Linked DNA regions of Macaca mulatta. The protein of the gene in region 1 purifies or fractionates together with the protein of each later gene. This does not show direct contact. Links are inferred from orthologs where the notes say so. Each region holds a gene or a part of one and is shown on either strand. Other genes may lie near its edges. The genes, in order: MCMBP and MCM8.

Region 1 (3,821 bases):
ACAGATCAAACAAAAGACTTTGTTAGTATGTGCTGTTTCCTTAAAAACTGTAACAACTTGAACTTTGCAAGCTCAGAAGCATCACATATGTCAAACTTGAAAGGCACTTATGGAACATTCTTTTTCTCCAGGAGGGCTTAGAAATGACTAAGTGCAATGCTATCCTTTGAATTTAGGGAGTGTTGGTGGTCTTCAATGGTGTGGAGAGCCAAAACGTTTGGAAACTGAAGCTTCTACTGGGCAACAGCTGAACTCTCTGAACTTCTCTTCTCCTTTTGATTTGAATTTTCCATTGCCAGGAGAGAAGGGCCCTGCGTGCCTTGTGAAGGTAATAAAACCTTTCTTAGGTCTGACATTGACATGTTATGTGTCTCAGAAAGTAGCTTAGTGTCTGAGCATTTGCATTCGTTTTCTTATGCTGGACTAGCTATAGCAAATCACTGCAAATTTAATAGCCTAAAGCAGCAAAAGTTTATCATCTTACAGGCTTTAGGTCAGAAATCCAACATGGTCTCACCGAGGTAAACTCCTTTGTATGTAGGAGTTGGACTACATTCCTTTCTTGGAGCCCCTAAGGGAGAATTTCCTTGGCTTGTGGCTCCTTCTTCCATATTCATAGCCAGCAACATTGCATTTGACCATTTTTTTCATGGTGACATCTCACCTGACCACAACCAGGAAAGGTTCCCCGGTTTTAAGAATCTGTGGATTACATGGGGCCCACACAGTTAATCGAGGATAATCCCCCCCATTTCAAGGTTATTAATCACACCTCTGCACGTTCCTTTTGCATATAAGCTAACATTCACAAGTTAAAAGAATCAAAGAACATCTCAAATGCAGAAGCAGAACAACTTTTAAATTGTCTGTTCCCTTCCTGTATCATTTCTAACATATAATCTTCATTTTTGTCTTCTTCCTTCTCTCAGCAAAACCTATTTCTCACTTGTATTTAAAATAAAACAGAAGGAAGAAAACTTTTAATAGTTTTTTCTTCCATCTTACTTATTCTAGTGTTTTGATGCTGATAAATGAGCAAGTGACAGAAGGTTTTAAAATGATTGTTAAGGATTTCCATCCTTTGTGCATTTTGGGTTTTCTTGTTTTGGGGGCAGGGGGGTTTGTTTTGTTTTATTGAGGCAGTCTTACTCTGTTGTCCAGGCTGGTGTGCAGTGGCATGATCTTGGCTCACTGCAACTTCTACCTCCTGGGTTCAGGCGATTCTCGTGCCTCAGCCTCCTAAGTAGCTGAGATTACAGGCATGTGCCACCACACCCAGCTAGTTTTTTGTATTTTTCCTAGAGATGGGGTTTCACTATGTTGGCTAGGCTGGTCTCGAATTCCTGACCTCAAGTGATCCACCCACCTCAGCCTTCCAAAGTGCTGGGATTCCAGGGGTGACCACTACACTCAGATTCTCAGTGGTTTTAATTGAAATGATACTTCAGTCATATGGCACAGGGACCAAAATGACTACTTTTTTCCCTGCCATGCTTCTGCCGGGTCTGTTCAGTAAATAAATGGCCTTGACGATTACTAAAGTCCATCATGACAATTTTGAATGTGTTTTTTTTTTTAAATTGTGAAAAATCTTCTGGCCATTCTAAGTTTTGTGTTAATCCAATGTTGCAGTTTATGAATAAATGCAAAGTTAATCATCTTGTTTTTGTTTTTCCTTTTCTTGATGTGGTTAATAGATTTTGAGATAGTGCACGTTTCTAGTTTTAACTGTCAGCCTTTGGGAAAAGCCCTTTTTTAATTTTAGAAAAAGACTTTTTTTTTTGTAGTACTGTGGTATATTGAAAAGAGATATTAGTCTGGAAGTTAGGCATCCTGTGTTTTGGTTTTTCACTTATTTGCTAACTAGCAGAGTGACTCTTGGTCTCAATTTATAAAAATTTATAAAATAAAGGACTTGCTTTAAGGTCCATTTCCTGATCTAAAATTCTAAGATGTTAGTACTCCAGGACTAGTATCTTAAGCTTTGTGTCTGTTCTAACAGTATGATTTCATGTGGTCTCTTGTTAGGTTTATGAAGATTGGGATTGTTTCAAAGTAAATGACATTCTTGAGCTGTATGGCATCCTGTCTGTGGATCCTGTGCTGAGTATACTGAATAACGATGAAAGGTGAGTCTGTGTGCTCTTTTTCTGGTCTCCTTTATTTTTATGTAATTTCAAGTTTTTGGGAAAGTTACAGGATGGTTTTGAAGAACTCGCTTCCCGGATGTACCAGTTGTAAACACATGCACCCCATGCGCTCTGTCATTCATTTGTGCTCTCTATGGATGCACACATTTTTCTGAAACACTTCAAAATATATTGCAGAAATCAAACCCTTTTACCCCAACTGCTTGTCAACATTTCCTAAGAGCACTGACTTTCTCATATGTAATCAGAGTACAGGTATCAAAACTAGGAAATTTGCCACAAATACACAATACACTAATCCACAGTCTATACTTAATTTTACTAATTGTCTTAATCATGTTCTTTCTTACACTTCTCCCTTCCGCATCCCCCAGTCCAGGGTTCGGAAGCTCGCTTATTCTCTATTTCTACTGAGTTCATACTGTATTTCTGATTCCAGTTCAGCACCACAGGTGTCGTTCTACTTGTTCTCCTTTCTGTGTTAGTGTAACTCTTAAACTTGATTCCCATTTTTCACAATCTGTCATTTGCACATTTGTACAACATAGAGAAGGGAATTTCAGAATTGTTAACTCATACCTCTATAAAACATAAACCTAAATAACTAGAGTTCAATCTGAAATAGTCCTCAGCCTTTGTCTTTCATGGTCTTGCCACTTTTTTTTTCCCCTTAAACAACAGAAATATATGTCTTCCAGTAGTTCTGGAGACTGGGAAGTCCAAAATCAAGTTCCCAGCAGATGTGGTTTCTAGTGAGGGCCCACTTCTGGTTTGCAGGTGGCTGTCTTCTCACGTGGTAGAGAGCAGAAAGCCTTGACGTTTTTGAAGAGTGTAAGCCAGTTACTTGTTTCCTCATGTACTTGTTACTTGTTAGACTCAATGTTGCGCATTTTTGGCAGGAATATTACAGAAGTGATGTATCCTCAGTATGTTAAAGCAGGAGGCATGCGATGTCAGTCTGTCCCGTTACTGGTGAGGTTAATTTTCATCAGTTGGTTAAGGTGTGTCTTCCAGATGTCTCTTCTCTAAAGTTACATTTCTCACTTTGTAATTGACAAGTAACTTGGAGGAAGATACTTTGGGACGTAAATATCCAGTTTCTCATTAAACTTTCACCAATTTATTTCAGCATTAATTGATGATTCTTGCTTGAATCAGTTATTACAACGTTGGCAATTCTCTAACTCAGTACATTTATTTATTGGCATTCTACTATAAAAGATATCTCTTCCATGTGTTTATTCAAGTAATTTATTTACTTATATTTAGTATGGACTAATAGATTCTGATTTTATTCAATGTTAGTATCATTATATTATTTTGAGACCCAAGTTTTCCCAGATGTAGCTAGTGGGAGCCACTTTAAGCAGGTGCTGGGTCCTTTTTTTGAGATGATCTTACTATTTTTTAACATTTATTTTCTGGCATATTAAGCTGTTGCAGCTTCATCATATACTTTGAAGATCTGAGTCCTAGATGTGCTCGTTGGTACTGGGTTAGCTTTGCATCTAGGCCCTTAAAGCAGACAGAGCTAGGATATATGCAACATATGTATACATATATATGCATACACATTTAAATGCACACATATATACTCACACATGCATGTTTTGTGTATTTCTAACATCTATGAGAAACCATGGGTTCATATTTCTGATTCCAGTTCAGCAC
Region 2 (3,821 bases), on another chromosome or scaffold:
TGCACTCCAGCCTGGGCCACAGAGCCAGACTCTGTCTCAAAAAAAAAAAAAAAAAGACTTGCGCTATTGATAGTAAACAGTGTTTATTGAGTGTCCTCTAATGTATTAGAACCCTATTTATCACTTTATAGAGCATCACTGCATGACACCTCAGAGCACAATCCTTTGTGGTGTGTTTTACGGCAGAGGAAACTGAGAAGCAGTGTGTAACTTGCCATGGCAGCTCCAGGTTGGACTCCAGAGCCCTTGCTCTTCCAGCTATGCTGCACTTTTGTTCACAGCCAAAGGGGAATAGCTGGGCAAAACCACCTGGTTCTGACACGACGCAAGCCCCAGAATCAGCAGCTACTAGGACAAAAGAATTCATCTACCTTAGAAGAATCAGAAATTACTTAACAAAGTAAGATAAATAATTTCATCTTCAATATATTTTTTGGTCTTGGAAAAGTAGATTCCTAACAGATATGTATTTTCATTGCTATGAGAGGATATTAAAAATGGATTTTAAATGAAAAAAACAAGGTATAGTATGTATATGGTATGTTGTTATAGTTACCATTTGTCTACAAAGAGGAAAAAAGAATATATAGATACATAGTCACACAAAAAACTGCTAATAATTGCCACTGGCTAGCAGGAAGAACGGGGTAGCTATTAAATAAGCAGAGTAGGAGGAAACTTTTTCCACTATATACTTTTTTTTTTTAGGCTCGAGTACAGTGGCACAATCTCAGCTCACTGCAACCTCCGCCTCCCAGGTTCAAGCAATTCTCCTGCCTCAGCCTCCCAAGTAATTGGGATTACAGGCGCTCACCACCATGCCTGGCTAATTTTTTGTATTTTTAGTAGAGACGGGGTTTCACCATGTTGCCCAGGCTGTTCTCGAACTCCTGACCTCAGGTGATCCACCTGCCTCAGCCTCCCAAAGTGCTGGGATTACAGGTGTGAGCCACTGTGTCCGACCTATACTTTTTGAACTTTGGAATTTTGAAGCTTATGAAAGTATGGACCTATTAAAAAATTTTTTAGCTGGAATAAAAAACCTACCTAAAATAACATTTCTGATTTTTAAAAGTCTATGTCTAAGGTAAACATATATGCTCAATTAATTTTTCTTTTCTACCTTCTAGGAATCATTATCTACTAAATGATATAAAATGCAAAGGATACAATTTACCAATATTTATCAAAAACCTATAGTATTTACTGTTGAACCCAGAAATATCACTTCTGAGAATTTATCATGTAGGTGTACAACTTACCCACGTATATAGTATCTTACATAGAACATTACTCACTGTAGCATTATTTAAAAGCACAAGAATGGAAAATATCTATGTGTCAAAAGGGAACTGATCAAATATACTATATAGTATATCTACACTATAGAATACTCTGTAGCTATAAAAAAAGAATCTCTAATAAGAAAAGATCTCTGAATATATTGTTAAAATTCAAAACTGATACAGAAGAGTATAATCGGTAGACTATTTATGGAAAAGCAATGGGTTTCTGGGTGAAGGGCGAGTAGGTGGTAAATAGCACAGGAGCTAGCTCTTCTCCAATAGGTTTTGGAACTGATTATAGCACTATGTAAATGTATTACTCATTCAAAAAAATTTTTAAGATTATTTACACAGTGAGAAATATTTTAAACTAAGAAACGATACTCTGTTCAGGAGGAAAATAAGTGACCCAATGGGCTAAATAAAAGCAGCCTTGGCCTATTGCCTAATTTGAGATGGGAAGATAACTGGTATTTCATTTAAAACTATTTGAAATTTTTATCTTACCTATATTTCATAATTTCCACTATATCCTCAGCATCTTCTTTGGTTGCTTCCTCTCTCAATTCCAACCTTGCTCGTGCCTTTAAAAGAAAACACCATTTTCAGATGACAAAAGATGAATATATTTACCACAGTATGTCTAAGCTTTACTTCATTTACTAATTTTACACAAAAACTGACCTTTAGGTGAGGAAGGTCATAACATCAGAAGTCAAAATATGAAAATAATTCTCTGGGCTGGCGGTGGTGGCTCACGCCTATAATCCCAGCACTTTGGGAGGCCAAGGTGGAAAGATCACTTGAGCCCAGGAGCTCGAGACCAGCCCGGGCAACAAAGTGAGGACCTGTCTCTACAAAAAAATTTTAAAATTAGCTGGGTGCGGTGGTGTATGCCCAGCTACTACTTGGGAGGCTGAGGTGGGAGGATCGCTTGAGTCTGGGAGGAGAGGCTGCAATAAGCCTTGATCATGCCACTGCACTCCAGCCTAGGTGACAGAGGGAGACCCTGACTCAGGGCAAAAAAAATAAAATAAAATCTGAAACCTTGACTATGAAATTACAACTCACTTAAAATAAGGATAAAACTCGTTTTTACTTATTAATGTATCTTTCTCAGTATTCATTTCAGGAGATTGGATGATAAAATACACTTGGTTTTCCCTTGCCTTTTGCTTTTAGGAAATCATGCCTAACCAATATGGTAAAACAACAAAGAGGAGTTAATCAGATTTTAGGAGCTAGAAGTCCAAACTCTAAGCTAGCTAATCTTAACTGCTGGAGTTCTTTTAGTATTTCACAACTGTGAATAGATATTACTACTGTTAAAAACACAGGCACTATCCTTGTGAACCTGTCATGTAATAAAATAAAATACTCAAGATACCTGACACATTCCGTGTTCCCATATACTCAACTTGGGATCTCAGAATCCTAGTTAACCTAACCACTTTTCAGACATTCCAGGAGTCTCCTAAGAGTCAGTCAAAGAAAAACAAAAGTTGCATGCTAAGTAATCGATTGTATGACTAGAAAGAAGTAGCTATACTTTGATATGTTACAGACATGACAAAATCTTTTTAAAAACTTTCATCCATCCATTTCTAACGTCTCTCAATAGAAAGAAAAACGGAGTCAGTTATGCAGACAATACTTCAAAAGAGAAGTCAAGGCACACCCTTCCCCTTTAAGCCAAAAAAGCAAGACCATAAAAAGAAACAAACCTCTGTCAGACGAATCAAAGATTCCAGCTGCCTGGTAGTGATTGGTGAGCTATTTAACCTCTGGCTCTGTTTCCGGAGCTCAAGGTAAAAATCTTGAAGAACTTGAGCAGCTTCTTTGGATAGCCTTGGGTACACATACTGTCGAGCATAGCCAATGTACTTTCTCAATAGCTGGTGGGGAATGGGATCTATTGTTTCTCCAGGAACCACCTGAAGCATGATTAAAAGGCCCAAGATAACAAAGATAAGTGGCAAAAAAAATCTTTCTGCTAAAATAACTTGTTTAGGCCAGGTGCAGTGGCTCACGCCTGTAGTCCCTGCACTTTGGGAGGCCAAGGAAGACACATCACCTGAGGTCAGGAGTTCAAGACCAGCCTGGCCAACACAGCAAAACCCCATCTCTACTAAAAATACAAAAATTAGCCGGGTGTAGTGGCACGCGCCTGCAGTCCCAGCTACTTGGGAGACTGAGGCAGGAGAATCTCTTGAACCCGGGAGATGGACGTTGCAGTGAGCCAAGATCACACCACTGCACTCCAGCCTGGGCGACAGAGTGAGACTATGTCTCAAAATACATAAGTAACTTGTTTAGACAAATACACAATTCTAAAAGACTCTCCAAATCAACCAAACACTTTATCTGACTTAGATTCCTTTTTTTTTTTTTTTTTTTTTTTGAGACGGAGTCTCTCTCTGTCACTGAGGCTGGAGTACAGTGGTGTGATCTCAGCTCACTGCAACCTCTGCCTACTAGGTTCAAGCAATTCTCCTGCCTCAGCCTCCTGAGTAGCTGGGATTACAGGCACACGCC

The links.
Region 2: the proteins of MCMBP (region 1) and MCM8 purify together in Homo sapiens (co-immunoprecipitation; 3 studies listed by BioGRID and IntAct, with this or other methods). This does not show direct contact. The link is inferred for Macaca mulatta from reciprocal best matches to the Homo sapiens genes MCMBP and MCM8.

The regions. Positions count from the first base shown.
Region 1 is NC_133414.1:131,947,536-131,951,356, reverse strand, and holds part of MCMBP (mini-chromosome maintenance complex-binding protein), read left to right. Parts: intron 1-176; coding exon 177-328; intron 329-2,028; coding exon 2,029-2,129; intron 2,130-3,821. UniProt on the Homo sapiens protein: Associated component of the MCM complex that acts as a regulator of DNA replication.
Region 2 is NC_133415.1:78,003,583-78,007,403, forward strand, and holds part of MCM8 (DNA helicase MCM8), read right to left. Parts: intron 3,221-3,821; coding exon 3,011-3,220; intron 1,871-3,010; coding exon 1,794-1,870; intron 1-1,793. UniProt on the Homo sapiens protein: Component of the MCM8-MCM9 complex, a complex involved in the repair of double-stranded DNA breaks (DBSs) and DNA interstrand cross-links (ICLs) by homologous recombination (HR).